Linked DNA regions of Arabidopsis thaliana. The protein of the gene in region 1 interacts with the protein of each later gene in a pairwise test. Each region holds a gene or a part of one and is shown on either strand. Other genes may lie near its edges.

What was found. Proteins that work in one complex are often made in the same cells at the same time.
Region 2: the proteins of AT1G70000 (region 1) and LHW interact in a two-hybrid assay, tested with the Arabidopsis thaliana proteins (one large-scale study listed by BioGRID).

What each region holds. Positions count from the first base shown.
Region 1 is NC_003070.9:26,361,286-26,368,379, reverse strand, and holds AT1G70000 (myb-like transcription factor family protein), read left to right. Parts: upstream 1-3,501; 5' UTR 3,502-3,744; coding exon 3,745-4,033; intron 4,034-4,125; coding exon 4,126-4,334; intron 4,335-4,418; coding exon 4,419-4,706; 3' UTR 4,707-5,401; downstream 5,402-7,094. Other genes in the region: AT1G69990 (Leucine-rich repeat protein kinase family protein), read left to right, coding at 6,370-7,094.
Region 2 is NC_003071.7:11,646,636-11,655,579, reverse strand, and holds LHW (transcription factor-like protein), read right to left. Parts: upstream 5,222-8,944; 5' UTR 4,851-5,221; intron 4,764-4,850; 5' UTR 4,686-4,763; coding exon 4,591-4,685; intron 4,133-4,590; coding exon 3,853-4,132; intron 3,742-3,852; coding exon 3,682-3,741; intron 3,604-3,681; coding exon 2,578-3,603; intron 2,486-2,577; coding exon 2,384-2,485; intron 2,311-2,383; coding exon 2,197-2,310; intron 2,117-2,196; coding exon 1,991-2,116; intron 1,890-1,990; coding exon 1,740-1,889; 3' UTR 1,437-1,739; downstream 1-1,436. Other genes in the region: AT2G27229 (Pentatricopeptide repeat (PPR) superfamily protein), read right to left, coding at 6,023-6,397. UniProt on the Arabidopsis thaliana protein: Transcription activator that regulates root development; promotes the production of stele cells in roots. Coordinately controls the number of all vascular cell types by regulating the size of the pool of cells from which they arise.

The sequences.
Region 1 (7,094 bases):
AAAAAAATGTTTATCATGGCAAATATGATTGGTTGCTCCTGTATCTATGACCCAAGAATGAATAGCAGTGACATTGCTATCTAAAGAACAGACATAAGGCCTAGCAATTCCGGCAAAAGAACAAAGGATAGAGGGAAAAAGGTTACCGGAAATTGGGCACACTGTGGAAGAAGAAGAAGGATCGGAAGATACTGAGATAGAGTGTACTTCAGGTTGAACGGGAGTACTAGGAGGCTGAAGTTTGGAACTCAGAAAGGACACAAGTTGTTGAATTTGAGAAGTCGTCAAATCACCAGTCGAAACACTTGTGTTGTTAACAACCTCTTCTGAACCAATAGCAGCATTAGCCGAGATAGAAGGCTTCACAAATTTCTGCTTAGACTTGAAAGAAGTTGGATAACCATGTTTCTTGTAACAAGTGTCTTCAACATGACCAGGTCGACTACAGTAAGAACAAACTGGCCTCTCCTTTTTCTGATAAGTATCTCCATTAAGAGCAGACTGTGAAGACTGATTAGAGACAGGAAACACTGATGAAGTCATTCCTGGAGTAGTAGAAATCCTTGCAGAACGTTGAGTTTCATCTTGATCAATCATGTTGAAAACCTCAGACAAAGATGGCAAAGTTTTCTTCATGAGAATCTGACTCCTAACAGTATCATAACAATCATTGAGTCCCATAAGAAAATCAATGACTCTATTAGTCTCTCTTTCAATCAGAAGATCTTCTACAGTCCGTGGAACAGCCTGAAGACTCGTCAATTCTTCCCAAAGAGTTTGAGTACGAGTATGATACGATGACAAATCCAGATTGCCTTGACGAAGAGAGTGAATCTGTTGACGCAGCTTGTAAAGTCGAGGGAGGCTAGATTTGTGAAATCGAGTATAGAGATCTTTCCAGATTGCAGCGGCTGTGGGAAAATACAAGATGCTTGTATAGATCTCCTTTGATACACTATTCAGAAGCCAAGACTTAACCATACTGTTACAACGACGCCAGATTTTGCAATAAGGATCATCATCATCAGGTTTTGGAATAGATCCATCCACAAATCCAAGCTTATTCTTAGCTTCAATGCTAGTAGTCATAGCTATAATCCAGGTTCCATAGTTGTTTCCATCTAACAGTTCTGGAGCTAGGACTAAACCAGGATGATCGGAGCTAACAAGATGATAAGGACTATGACTATTATCAGGAGAATCCGATACCTCAAAGTGACGCGATGAGCTATATTGAGCTGGTTGATGAATCGCAGCATGAATCGAGGATCCTGGAGCTCTCGCTGATGAACCAGAAGACTGCTCATGAATCTTCGGTGAAGCAATGACAGGAAGATCCGGTGAACTACTCCGACGAACACTCTTTCCATTTCGTTTACCTATGGAGAATCGAAACAGCTAACCAAAGAGACTGAATCGCAAAGGAGACGAAAGGAAAACGTGTAGAAGAGAGAAGAAGAACAATGAGAAGATGAACAAACTCCGGTGAGATTCCGGTGAGATTCCGGTGAGATCTAATCGGAGAAGTTTGTTACGGGACTGAGATCGAGATATTTTGCTCTGATACCATATTAGTAAAACAATCTCATTCTCATTAATTAGCAAAAGAGTACAATTGGGGGTTTATATACAAACTGACATTGGCCTAAACCATAAGCCTCTAAACCAAAATTAAGATTGGTTTATAAAATACCAACCTTTACAGACTCTATATGAAATCTATACTAACCAAACTAAGTTTATATACAACAATCTAAGTTATATACATTAATAAATACAAACCTTCACCTAAGAAAATATCTTTAACCCGACATAAATTTGTTACTACGGACATGTTTTTGTTTAATTGGAGAAAGATATATGATTGTGTATGGTGTCTATTGATTGATTGTCACAGAAGTATAGGCATTTTCTGTTATTGGCAAACTAAGAAAGAAAAGACATTTTCCACTAGTTATGTAATGCATCTTCGAAATACCCAACGGACCAAACCTGCTCATCCTTTCCGTTTTTGATATTATATAACAATATTTTATATCTTTTAATCGCTAAAAACGAATATTATATAAATGTATTGGATGTCCAAAAAAAAAAATGTGAATGGAGGCTTTCATATGCTATATCACTATCAACCAATCACAGAACATCTTTGACAGAAGGTTACCTATGCACGTACACTACACATACGATGCTCTTTGTTTATATCTTTGCTTATAGTTTATCGATGCTAACCACTGTAAGAATTAAGTAAAGTTAATGCCAATTTAACATTAAGTTAAAATTACTGTAAAAAGTAAATTAGATAGGCTGCCTTTTAAAAAAATTGTTGAATTATAACCATATTTGCTTTTCAAACATGCATGTCCCAAGTAACAGAACAAACAAAAAAAAGAAGAAGTTTGGCGTAATGCTCCTATACCATGGGTTAGTGCTCTCAAGCGGGTCATGTGTACACCAACAATATCAATTTTTGGGTGTTTGCTTTTAACTGAAAAAGTAAACGCATCGAATCTTTATTATGATTTCGATGAATAATGATAAAATTTGGGACAATTTCAATTCAAGTGAGGAAAACGTGTCTGTGCCTTCTTGGTAAATCTAACACTGAAATTTGACACGCAGTTGCTTCTATAGTCAGTAATTCCAATAAAGCATCTAAAATTGCATTTGAATATTTAATCATAGTCGTCCCTATCAATAATTGTCACCAACAAAGATAAAGGGTAAATAAGAAACATATAATGAAAATTGAATGGTCGTAGTTTTATATGTTAGTTGGAACCAAAGATTCTTCAATCTATCATCCACTCAGAGCTACGTGGACAGTCGATATTTTGGGTTATATAAAAAAAAACAAAATTGTACTATAAGACAAAAGAAAACAGTATTAAAAAAAAAAAAATCAATAACAAGATTATATCTTATCCCAATGAACAAAATGAAAATTTAGTTATTTTGAATAATGTTACAGGTTTTAATTAAATTATACTATATCACAAACAGCAAGAGTCAGATACATCGAACGGTCCAGCTTTCCTCCTTTATTTTTTTCTGGCTATCGTTTTGATGCAAAGTTGTTTCGTTAATCGTGAAAATTAAAAAGCTACAGCAATCTTCTCCGAAACTTCATACACTCGCCGACAAGAGAAACTTCATCCACTCGGATTTCTCGTAACTTGCAGCACTAAACATTTCATGAAACTATTCACAAAAGTCCACGAACCTTGCAATTGGCCACAAAATTTAAAATACTTATATACGTAACGACAACCTATCCATATTTTTCTTTCTAACGATCCAAAACTGGCCACGCTTCGACTCCATGGTGATATTAACTAGGGAAGTGGCTAATGGCAAACAAGTGCTTAGAAGTGGTAAATTCAAATAATAACCGTCGATTATTTCTTTCTAACCGTTATTGAGGTTACCAATTAAAAAAAGTGATCACAAACTAGGTCAATGAAAAGGGAGATTTTTTGTTTTCTTTGGGCCAATGAAAATAGAAACTAAGATGGACAAAAGAAAATATTATAATTGGACAAAACAGAGTCATTTGAGATTTAAAACAGAGAAGTAATAAAGGTCAAATGTTTTTGTGGTGAGCTCTCAAAAACAGACATAAAAAAAAGAAGCAGAATCATTCCCATTTATAACAAACCTAAACCTCTCTTTTCTTCTTCTCTTTACCTTTTTCATTCCAAAATCTCTCTCTCTCTCTCTCTCTTTCTCTGGCTCGGGAAGAAGATGTCACGTAGTTGCTCACAGTGTGGAAACAACGGCCACAACTCTCGCACATGTCCGACGGACATAACTACCACCGGTGACAACAACGACAAAGGCGGCGGGGAGAAAGCCATCATGCTTTTTGGCGTCCGCGTCACGGAAGCTTCATCATCTTGTTTTAGAAAAAGTGTTAGTATGAACAATCTCTCTCAATTCGATCAAACTCCTGATCCCAACCCAACCGATGACGGTGGTTACGCTTCAGACGACGTCGTTCACGCCTCCGGTAGAAACCGTGAACGCAAACGAGGTTAATAAAATAACCTTTCTTCTCTCTTTCCCAAATCTCATCTCTGTTTTTGTTTCTTGTTTTTGAAACTTTCTTGCAAATTTGGAATTTAGGAACTCCATGGACAGAGGAAGAACATAGATTGTTTCTTACTGGATTGCATAAAGTTGGAAAAGGTGATTGGAGAGGAATCTCTAGAAACTTTGTTAAAACTCGAACACCTACTCAGGTAGCGAGTCATGCTCAGAAATATTTTCTCCGGCGGACTAATCAGAATCGTCGTCGTCGTAGATCAAGCCTCTTCGATATCACTCCCGATTCGGTAACGTTTCATTCTTTAAAATCTATAATTAAAATCAAGAATCTGTAAGATTATACTAACACATAAGGTTCGATATGTCAACAGTTTATAGGATCATCAAAAGAAGAGAATCAGTTACAGACTCCATTGGAGCTAATCCGTCCAGTTCCGATTCCTATTCCGATTCCACCGTCGCGGAAGATGGCTGATTTGAATCTTAACAAGAAAAAAACTCCAGCGACAACGGAGATGTTTCCGCTGTCGCTGAATTTGCAGAGGCCGTCTTCGTCGACATCGTCATCGTCCAATGAACAGAAGGCACGTGGCTCACGTGCCTCCTCGGGGTTCGAGGCGATGTCGAGTAATGGAGATAGTATAATGGGAGTGGCTTGATGAAGAAGATAATGTTTTAATTAATTTATATTGTATAAGATAAGATCTGGATGATGATTAATTTGAAATTTGAGAATTAGGCTAATTAGATACTTTGATCAGAATCAAGTGAGTTTTTAAGTTTGAATTAGTGTGTACATGTTTTTTTGCTCTTTTTGGGGGAAACGACTTGTCGTTTTTGTTGTTGTATGATGTAAAACAACAGGTAGTCTCTGTGTTGTTTTGGTCAAGACTTGATCAGATTCAGAAGTGAAGACGACTTCAAGCTTAAGATAGTTTAGATGTGTCTTTTGAAAAGTTTAAACAGAATGGTTATTGGGTTAAGGTTAAGTGTATCTCATATGCTTTTTCTATCTTTTTTTTTGGTAAGACTTTTCCAGTAATTTGCCGTTTTCTTCGGGGTGTGTGTTGTTGATAATGTCACATTCATGAACCAAACACAGTTATATTACTTTAGTAACAGTTTTTTTTTGTTTTTTTGTTTGTCGTTTGACGTCATTTTGTTTTATTTATGTTATTACATACATGGATATAATTTATGAAACTGCCAAGAAAACAAAGAATATAATTTGTTGAATTGTTATTGGCCTACCAACTATATCAGCAAGATTCGAATCTATACTTTGTTAAAATGTCTCAATGTAGGACTGGACTGGAGATAAATATAAAGTAATATATAGGGTAAAGTTTCTAAGTCTTGTATAGCATGATTTTTATTAGGGAATAGAATTCTAATTTCATGATGTAATTCAAACAACTGAAATGGAAAATTGTTTAAAACTAGCTAAACTTGTACAGTTGTACTATTTAGAGCCCAAAGTGATAACTGTTTTATGGCTTTTATCCATGCAAAAGAAAAACATCAAAATAAAGTGATGTCCATCACATACATCTTAAATAAAGTAATAATGGGCCTAGCTAAGGTATAGCCCATGGGCTTATTCGCTGATCTAACCAAAGTGTCGCTAATTTTCTTCCTTGTTTTTTTAACGCAAATTTTCTTCCATGTCAATTATGTCTTTTTAATCAAAAATTCCTCCACACCAAAAAAGAACGTAAAAACTAAAAATAGAACAAATTCAACTACACTCAGATAATCGAATTGCTATGTCCAATATCCAAAACATTTCAAGCCATTTAGTGCTCTCACTAAACATATTTTAACAAAATATGAAATAACATTCCCAAAATTGCGATCAAAAGGCTAGAAACATCTTCAACAATTATGACAGTCCTAAACCAACAGTTCAAACACGTTTTATATCTGTTTGGCCAAATTAAACGAATATAACATAAAAATACGATTGATCTTAGACAATTACTAAAGTTTCTAAATAATAATCTATACTTTCACAAAACAAGAAATACAAATTGATTCTTGCGCAGAAAGTGCTTTGGTACCTACTTTTTTTACCACCTTTCCTTTTCAATTGAGACATCAACACATTCACTAAAACAAACTCTCAAACTGCTCTAAACGACACCGTTTAGTTACAGATAACTTTACTTGTATTTAAAGTCACCAAAAGTTTGAATTTTTATTTGTGCCTTCCACAAAGCTTTAAGCTTAAACACAGTCAATGGCCGTCCTTCCGCCATAAAAGGACAAAAAAAAAGCTTCCCTCTTTTCACAAAACCCTAAAGAAACAAAAAAAAAACCATCATGAAAACGATCTCAATCTTCTTCGTCATCATCTTAATGTCATCTTCTCACGCAGAAGACGATGTACTCTGTCTCAAAGGCTTTAAATCATCACTCAAAGATCCTTCAAATCAACTCAACACATGGTCTTTCCCTAATTCATCATCGTCGATTTGCAAACTCACCGGAGTTTCTTGCTGGAACGCTAAAGAGAATCGAATTCTCTCTCTTCAGCTTCAATCAATGCAACTCTCTGGTCAAATCCCTGAATCTCTTAAACTATGTCGGAGTTTACAATCTTTAGATCTTTCCTTTAATGATTTCTCCGGTTTGATTCCTTCACAAATATGTTCTTGGCTTCCTTATCTTGTTACTTTAGATCTTTCCGGTAACAAACTCTCCGGTTCGATACCGTCTCAGATCGTTGACTGTAAATTCTTAAACAGCTTAGCTCTAAACCAGAACAAGTTAACCGGTTCGATTCCGTCTGAATTAACCCGGTTAAACCGTCTCCAACGACTTTCTCTAGCTGATAACGATCTCTCTGGTTCGATTCCCTCCGAGCTATCTCATTACGGAGAAGATGGTTTTCGCGGTAATGGCGGACTTTGTGGTAAGCCGTTATCCAACTGCGGTTCGTTTAACGGTAAAAACTTAACGATCATTGTAACTGCTGGCGTTATTGGAGCTGTTGGTTCATTGTGTGTTGGATTTGGGATGTTTTGGTGGTTCTTTATTAGAGATAG
Region 2 (8,944 bases), on another chromosome or scaffold:
CGTTTTTCAATTAACCATGCAAGAAAACATTGGTAACATCCATTTCTGTCACTTCCGATCCCATCCATGAATAGCATCAAATCTTAACAACTTTACACTAGTCAGTTTGGAAAATGTTAAAAAACATTAGTGAAACACGTTCAATATATATCTCTCAAATTTTGCTTTGGCAAAAAAAATATCTCTCAAATTTTCAAGTTTAGAGACTTTTATAATGATCAATGTGGTAAGAATAATTACTAGTTTACTTACTATAAAGGTATGTATATAGTGTTTTGTACAATAACCAAAACAAAAGCTAAGTAAATCCATCTGTAGCAAATAGTTGTTTTCTTTGCTTCTGCTTTACTATATAAAAGATTCGCTAAAAGTGTTTATCCAACAAAAAAAAAGATTCGCTAGAAGTGAAAAAACATTCACTCTAGTAAGAAAAGTTTGCTATCAATAGAAACCTATCATTTTTATATTTTACAAAATATGCATATGTTCTAGTTACAGTATCAAAGAAAAAATTATCTCATTTTCTAAATTTATCAAAATTAGCTAATCATATCATATTAGAGGATAATGGGATCTTGGCTCATTTCTTTTCCTCCACACAAGACAAATCTTGCTGCATACCTTAATAATTTAGATTTCCTATATAAATTTATTTAGTTAAGAAAACCTATGTTACCTAGTATACAACTTTAATTTATTTTATTTTGGTCACTGATAGTATACAAGTTCTGGTTAATATTTACAACTGAAAAAGGTTACACCGTTTATATAAAAGAATATATACATCTGTAGCCTAGTGGGAAATCATCTCTAGTAGACTGTTGATAAAGTATTATTGGAAGCATATTTTAAAAGTGAGGAAGAAAATTGAAGGGCCCAAGAAAAATATAATGAATTTTAGTGAATCATAATGTGCTGTCGATTATCCCATCATAATCTATAGAGTGGAGAGATGGCTAAAGCAAGACACAAAGATGTTCATGCACCTTTTGCAGCAAAGTTTAGGTACCTCAAAAGTGTAAATAAAGCATTTTTGAGACAACAAACAAAAACGCAGTTTTGAGAATTTGATGTTGGACTAAGTTTGATCCACTAATTAGTAGTATGAAGAAAATGTAAATATTAGGAATGGATTAAGACATCCATTAGAGATTATGAATTCACATGATAGCACATTATAAGGCTGTTAACAAAAGTATTATAACTAACTATTATTAGCTTTTCTTCTATAGGCCTCACGTTTCTTAATAAAGAGTGTGTTTTATTGAAAGTAGAGCTTCTTGTGTTTTTTTTTTTAATAATAAGCTAATTATATACATAGAGTTACTAATCAAAGTAACATAAAGGTACTTGTAACATGTGAAGCTTTGTTGTGTACTGTTAAAGCTGTTGATGGACCGGTTCTTTTTACCGGTCTTGAAATCCGTGAATTGTTTGAACTCTTACTGGTCGAGAATAATTTTAAACAATTTAACTAAATTTTTTACAACTCCAAAACTGAATTAAAATTAAAAAATTCCACACAAATGAAAATTCGCAACTAATGTACAAAACATAAAGTTGAGAAAAAAAAACACACTTAAAAATCATCATCTCTGGTTTAGACTGACTTTTTAGTTAGTCATAGCGAGCCTAAAATCCTTGAGAGCGGTCCGCTCGTAACCTCTATATGAATCAAGCTTTTAACCAGCCCGGTTTATTAAACCGGAGCAATCCGGTACGGTCAATAATTTGTGTCATTACATTGAACAGCCACCAGTAACCGGTAAAGGCATTGTAGCTTTGATACCATCCAAAATAGTCTTAGAGTTTCCTCCACATTTCATTGTCTGCTCCAAAATATTCACTAGTTGCATGAATATTTCCATCCTCGTCACGTCGCGACTCGCCTACAATCCAATATCGACCCGGTTTCAGTTTAAATAAGATACATTCTAACACAATCTCATCTTTCCAAGTTAAACAACCTTGTGTAACTTATATAATATACCTCAACAGTGAAGCGAGCCCAAATCTTGTCTACTCGAGTTTCGATGACTCCCTTCAAGATCGTTAACCCTAAGCTTCTGATCCAATCTGCGATTTCTAGAAAGAATCCTCGTTGCTCGCATAACATCTGTTACAAAACCAGAAAACGTTCGATCAAAACCGAGATCTTGAGTGTTTTTTATTAAGAACCTTAGGCAGAAATGTTACCTCGACTTGGAAAATGCGAGGCGGGTTTATATCTTCTACGACAATTGGACACACCATAGACTTTGACCCTACTTCGAAAGCCCATGTTGCTCCTCCACCGTCCTCTTTCATAATCTTATAACAATACAACAAACGTTAGATCAAGAATCCATGAGAGACACCAAAATATTATTGTTTTATGTTATACCTTGGATTCCCCGGTTTGCTTCAGCTTATCAGAATGCTTGGAGACATTTTGCAAGAAGAGCATGTGCTTGATTGTACGTTCAAGGAGTGCATCAATGCTACACTGTTAAATAAAAACCACATGTACTCTTTGTTAGTAATAACCTTTCTTAGGGATTGTTTAATTTGCCAAGAACAGATAAGTTTTTCACTTACTTTTGCACCGTTTGGTATTATTTCACGCAGCTCTTTGACACGATCTTGGATCATTTGGCGATCTTTAGGCCTTGGTCTTGGGTTCTCTCCTGGTTTAAGCCTTTTCCGGTTATTAGCCGGTTTTGCAGTTTCATTCTTGTTCACCATCCTTGGACTGCCCTCACGCTTCAAGCTGTGCGCTTGTTCAACCCAAGAACTTATCTGAGACCCGTAGACCGATGATGGCCCCAATGGTTGCCCATGTTTCTTCTCAAATAACTGGCTACCTTGAGGGCTACTGTGAGACGGCGTGGTAACCGAAGAATTACTAACTTTAGTCAAGGTGGTTTTGCAGGACTCGGAAGTTTCGTCTGAGATCTGCTTTGTGGAGGAGCAAGCACCCGAGACCACGGCATCTAACAGATGATCTGTTCCTGAAAGTTCATACCCCGAAGAACCGAACTCAGGGTCCATTTCTTGAATGATCCGAAAGTCGGATAACTCTCTAGTGAGTACTTCTGTTCTCATCTGTGAAACTCCCCAACTGTTGTCACAACCTTTGTTCTTATCATCCAAACCCAACATATCAAACAAGTCGTCGCTTCCAAGCGAGCGTTTCGAACTGATGTCTTCACATGGGATTTGTTGCTGCTCTGCTGCATCCACATTAGACATACAAGAGAAGTTTTGATTCAGCCACGCATCTGGATTTGAAGGTACTGCAACTTCTCCAGCTGTTAGAAATCCTGTTGTGCTTTGCCATCCTCCTTCATGTTCATCCACAAGATTACAGGGAGATTCTTCAACCATTTGATGATCTGATGATCCAGTGGAGTTGAAATGTTGTTTGCTAGTTTCAGCTACGAAAGCCGAAGATTGGAGGATCTTATGTCCTTGAGAAGGTATTATCCGAGACACTGGCACTCCAATAAAATCAGCAGCAGGTTCATATGTTCTGTAGTTTTCAGATAAGAGAGCCCCCGGAACACATCCGAGCTGCAGGATAAGACCCTTCACGTCATTCACAAACCCCAAGTTCTCCATAATCTGAACACACAAAAAACAATTCACAGTTAAATCAAGAACAAGAATCTCACTTCACATAACAATGTAACTTGAACTTACAGGCAGAGAGGAACCGAGCTGAACAACACCGTGAGGAACAACCGGAAAAACTGCAACAGTCTGAAGAACAAACAAAATAAGCACACACAAACAGTTCTTATGAGCTTGAACATATATATACACTAAAGAAGCCTAACTTAGGATGTTCAAAACATGAAGAAAGTATCAAACCTGAATACCAGCAGAGAATTGGAGAAGCATCTCATTAATAACCTCGGGTGGATGAACATCGCGGTTAAAACTGTTAGCTAGAATCCATTGATGATGTCCAGTAAATGCAGCTCGGCCAACTAGACCTTCACCTACCAAAATGATTCGATTGTTCAACATCATTCGGTTTGTAAGCAACTGAACTTTCTCATTCCCTTGTGTATCAACACCAAGTCCACAAAGTCTTCTAGGATTCGAGCTCGATTCGGTTTCATTGTAACATTCCTCCCAAATCAACAAGCTGCACAAAAACAAGTAAAAAAAACACATCAAAAAAAAAAAATTAGAATACACATGACAAAAATATGCAACAATCGTTTAAGTTAGAATACCACAAAAAGACGATTACAAAAGATTTTGGGCTAAACAAAGACAAAACGAACAAAGACAAGAAATAAAAATTGAAATGACAAGAGAGTTAAAGAACTTGAACTCTTTAGACAATTCATAAACAAATAATAAGGATATAGTTATTGTCGACAAAACAACTACAAATCGAAAGATTCTTTAAGACAAACAAGATCAAACCAAACACAAAACTCCAAGAATTAAACAGAGATAAATAATTCTAGTCATCCTCGAGATCTGAGTTTTAAACCCTTATCAAAAAATTCTCAAACTTTAAACTAACAAACACTGAATATATTTGACTGAATAAAGTTTGACACTTTATTAGAATTAGGAGAATAAGAGTGGTACCTAGAATTTTGACAGCCAATTTTCCAGAAAACAGCATAAGACCATTGATTATTAACACACATAGACCTTAAAGCTTCTCTTAGTAAAACTCCCATAGCTTTTCTCTTTCTCTTCTCTCTTCTTTAAGCTCCAACAAGAACAAACTTTTTCACTTGCAACAGTGCAATTTCAAACTGCCCAGAAGAAAAAAATCGAAACTTTAGGTCTAAAAACAAAACTTTTTAACAAATCTACAACAATCAATAAAAACCCATTATTACATTCTTTAAGAGGAAAATGGATTTGAACAAAGACTAACTTCCACGGCAAGATCCTCTTCCAGCTTGTTTTGTCCTAAGTCCTCCACTTTGTTTTCTTTCAGGATCTAAACTAAAAGCGATCATACTCCGACATGCCATTACTTCCGGTAATAAGGAAGAGAAAAAAAAACTCAAAACCCCAGAAAAGAAAAATACAAGAAACTAGTTAATCTTCTTCACAAGATGCTCCAAGCTTCAAGCTTTAAGATTCCAGTAACACCAGCCATTGATAAAACTTGAAGAAAATTAGAAGAAGATGGAGAAGAAAGCAAATGGAGATTATTTGTCTTTGTTTTTTCTCTGCTTTAATGTTTCTTTTCTCTGCTTCTTGGTGAAAAAAAGATTGAAAAATGAGGAAAAAGTACCATCTTATTAAAAACAAAGAACACGATGAATTCGAGAAAGGGTATCAATGTTTAGTAGAAATTACAGGATTGTGCCACTGAGTGGGGTAGTCGAAGTCTTTTGTCTTTTTCCGATGGTGCTAGACGAATAATTTATTGTTTTTTTCGTGAGGTAATATCCTAAAAGTTTGTTTTTAGATAAAAACAAAAGAGATAAAGAAAAAAAGTGTACCCTCGGAGATAAATTAAAAGACGTTCCTAAATATAATTATTAAAAATATATATGTATATATATATATTAAAATATTTAATAACGGCATAAGTCTAGAAGTTAGAGGATTTGTAGGATTATGGATTGTCAATAAATAAAAGAGATTTTCATTTTCTGGTATTGCTTCCCGTACACACAAATAATAAATACACATAAGTTCAAGGTGTTTAATATTGAGCTTATATTTAAAATAGGCATTTTAAATAAAGTTATTTCAAAATAGGTATTTTCCACAGTTGAATACAACAGTGTCGATTTATTGCTTCAATCGGGACAATTTTGTCCCTGTCTTTTTTTCCTTCTCTTCTTCTTCATCGTCTTCTTTCTTCTTCTTCTTTATCGAACATAGTTGCAAAATCTGATTAAATCGATTTCTTCTTTGTTTTTCAAGCAAACTTAATTTTTCTTTTTAATTACACAATACTAAACCCTAAGATAATATATAGGGAACCCAATCGAAAAAATTTATAGATTTTATGGAACTTTAGTTCTGATTTTGTGGAATTTCGGTTCTGATTTTAGAGAATTTCAGTTCTGTCCACATGACTACGATAGGCTGTGTCCATGGCGGAAATAAAGAAGCTTTCTTTGTTGCGACTTAACCTTCGTAAGCAAAGTTGGAATCTTTTCCCACCCAGAGTCTTCCTATACCAAGAATAAATCGGTTCACAAATAACAATGAGTTGAAACCGGTTTTTGAATATCGTCTCACCTGTCTTTTTCAAATTACCAGTAATCACCACAAGTCCATTCTTGAAATGATGAAACCGGTTTAAATCCCTCACAATGATCTCTCTCTCAGTGATTTTCCATATAAAAACTTGGATTCTTGAAAATCCGAGTTGTTGTCTTTGCAGGAGTGGCGATTTAGAAGATGATGCATATATCGCCATTGTTTCAATTGAATATAGGGAACACACACGATTTATTGCTTCAATTGGTGATGCAAATATCGAATATAGGAAACAGACACGACTTATTGCTTCAATTGGGTAAAAGATAATGCAAATGAGAGGAGGATAAGGATGACTTTTCACAAGAGAAAAGTACCTCTTTCGAAAATCATGTAAGGAAATACCTTAAAATAAATATATAACCAAGACAAATGCCTATTTTCTAATAAACTCTTTAATATTTAGATTATTTTATTATTTATCATGTTAAATTAAATTCTGAAAAACTCATTAACACTTTAATTTAACATCAAGCAATTCGTAATTACTAATTTAAAGATTTAACTTAGTTATATACTGATATTTTAGTGGGTGCAAAAAGGTCCAAACCATATTATTTTTTAATAGATTATTAACTACTTTTACTATGTACTAAGTTTTTTTTTCCCCATAAAAACGATCTATAATTACTATGATATTTTTAACAGAAAAACTATGAACATTATACTGAATCACTAAAAGAACATCGTAATACTTTGACCACAATAAAATAAAATAAAGATATAATTTGAGCATTGGGAGGTTTTTAGAAGGCACCACACCGAATGATTTCAAGTAATCTTGACAGTTTTTTTAAATGTAACTGCCAGTATGTTACAAAAGGATAATGAAAGTTCTGCGGGAAGATGGACCGTAGATAGCCTCTTATTGTATGGTTTGTACAATTTACAAGTTTAAAAAGAAAAATCCGACTGAGTGAGATTTTGTAGTGAAAAACATATTATTTGTGTTCATGATCCACGAAACTAACAAAAATACAAAATAGTTCACATGTCATCAATCACGAACGATCAATTTATCGGTTGTCGACCAATATATCAGTCCACAAAATCACTGTTTTTCTTAATTGATACTGATTTTAAAATTTAATCAGCATAGTTATTACCATTAAATAAATAAAAAATACTGATAGCAGAATTTTATGTAAAGTTCTGATAAATCATATTTATGAATATTGGTGGTATATAGCACATAACCATTGGTAGAGACATTTCATGTGATGCCATTCTCGTCCATGGTCAAATAAAGACAAATAAACAAACACTCAAAGTTTTGTAACGTTGATTTTTTTTTTCTTAATGTGTAACGTTGATACCATGTGAGAACACACATAACATTTATTGAAAATTTGTTTCGTCTATGTTTCTTGTGGAAAAAACATTTGCTATATACCAAATGAATATAGACACATCCCTAGTAACTTAGATGGTACATAAACTATAGGTGGTAATAAAGTAAATATTTGTGGTAGGCTGCAACTTTCGAGTGAAAACATAATATAAAAAAATGAATTTTTGTTTTTTGTTTGTCAAAAAACTGATTTTCATTTGTTATTAACAAGAAAAGGTAGATGAGAAATTGGGAGAAAGAAAAAAAAAGAGATGTTTTAATGCTTAGATGTCTCATAAACCATCGAGGTGGAATTAGTAGTTGTTGCTGTCTTGATGACGTCACCGGTGACAATTTGCCATTCACTCTCTGAATTTTCACAGAAGTGGCAGTGCCTTTTTTACTATCAGAGAGACCCCTAAAGACAATAGAGGCCCAAACTACATTCTCTTTTCAATTGTTTTTTTTTTCTTTAGCTCAACTTCAACTTAATATTAATCCAATAGATTCTCTTTTCAATTACATTCGCTGAATATATATATATATATATATATATTTGTTTAAGCATTCATTTATAGTAATTTATTAAAAAGATCTAAGAAAAATGTTATATTGTATTTAAAATTATCTTCATTTAATAAACTAAGGTTAAAGAATCTTACTTTAAATAGATTGTTTCCATACAAATAGAGTTTTTCCATATGACAGTTAAAATGTTGTAAAATATAAAGTATGTGGACGTAAATTTTTCGAAGTATATGGTTGATTCTTCTTCGAGCAAAAACTTTGTGTGCGTGTGGCCACTTAAACTCTTGGATTTTGTTTTGATGTCTAATTTAAGATTAATTTGCTGAAAATTCCTGCAAAATATTTATTCATTTTTGAATTAGTCGGGTTTAACTTGAAACTTGTAGGCTAAAATTGATGTGACTTTTATCTTACACGTTTACTGTTAATCTTAGATTGATTTGTGGAAACTCTTGCCAGAATTCACCTTTGGATTAGTCTGACTGTGAAATTTGTAAGTTGTATCTATAAAAAGTGCTAAAAATGTATGTGAGTGTTGTCTTAGATCTGTAATTGCTAAATATTTAGAATTTTAGAAAATTATAAAGCAAAAAGCAAAATAAAAATAAAAAAATCATTGTACCATGTATGTTCATAATTTTCCGGTTATTGTAGCGCAAATGGTAAAATGTCTGGTTCTCTTCCGTATTGCCAAGTATTCAAGATAAAAATATGAGTAATTTAACATTCGATACCGATGTAATAATTTTGGGATAACATAGAATAGAGAAATGATAAAATATACCGACATGTATAGGAATGATAGAATGAGGATGTTGGAGGGTTGGAGAGAGGAAGAATGCCACGTGG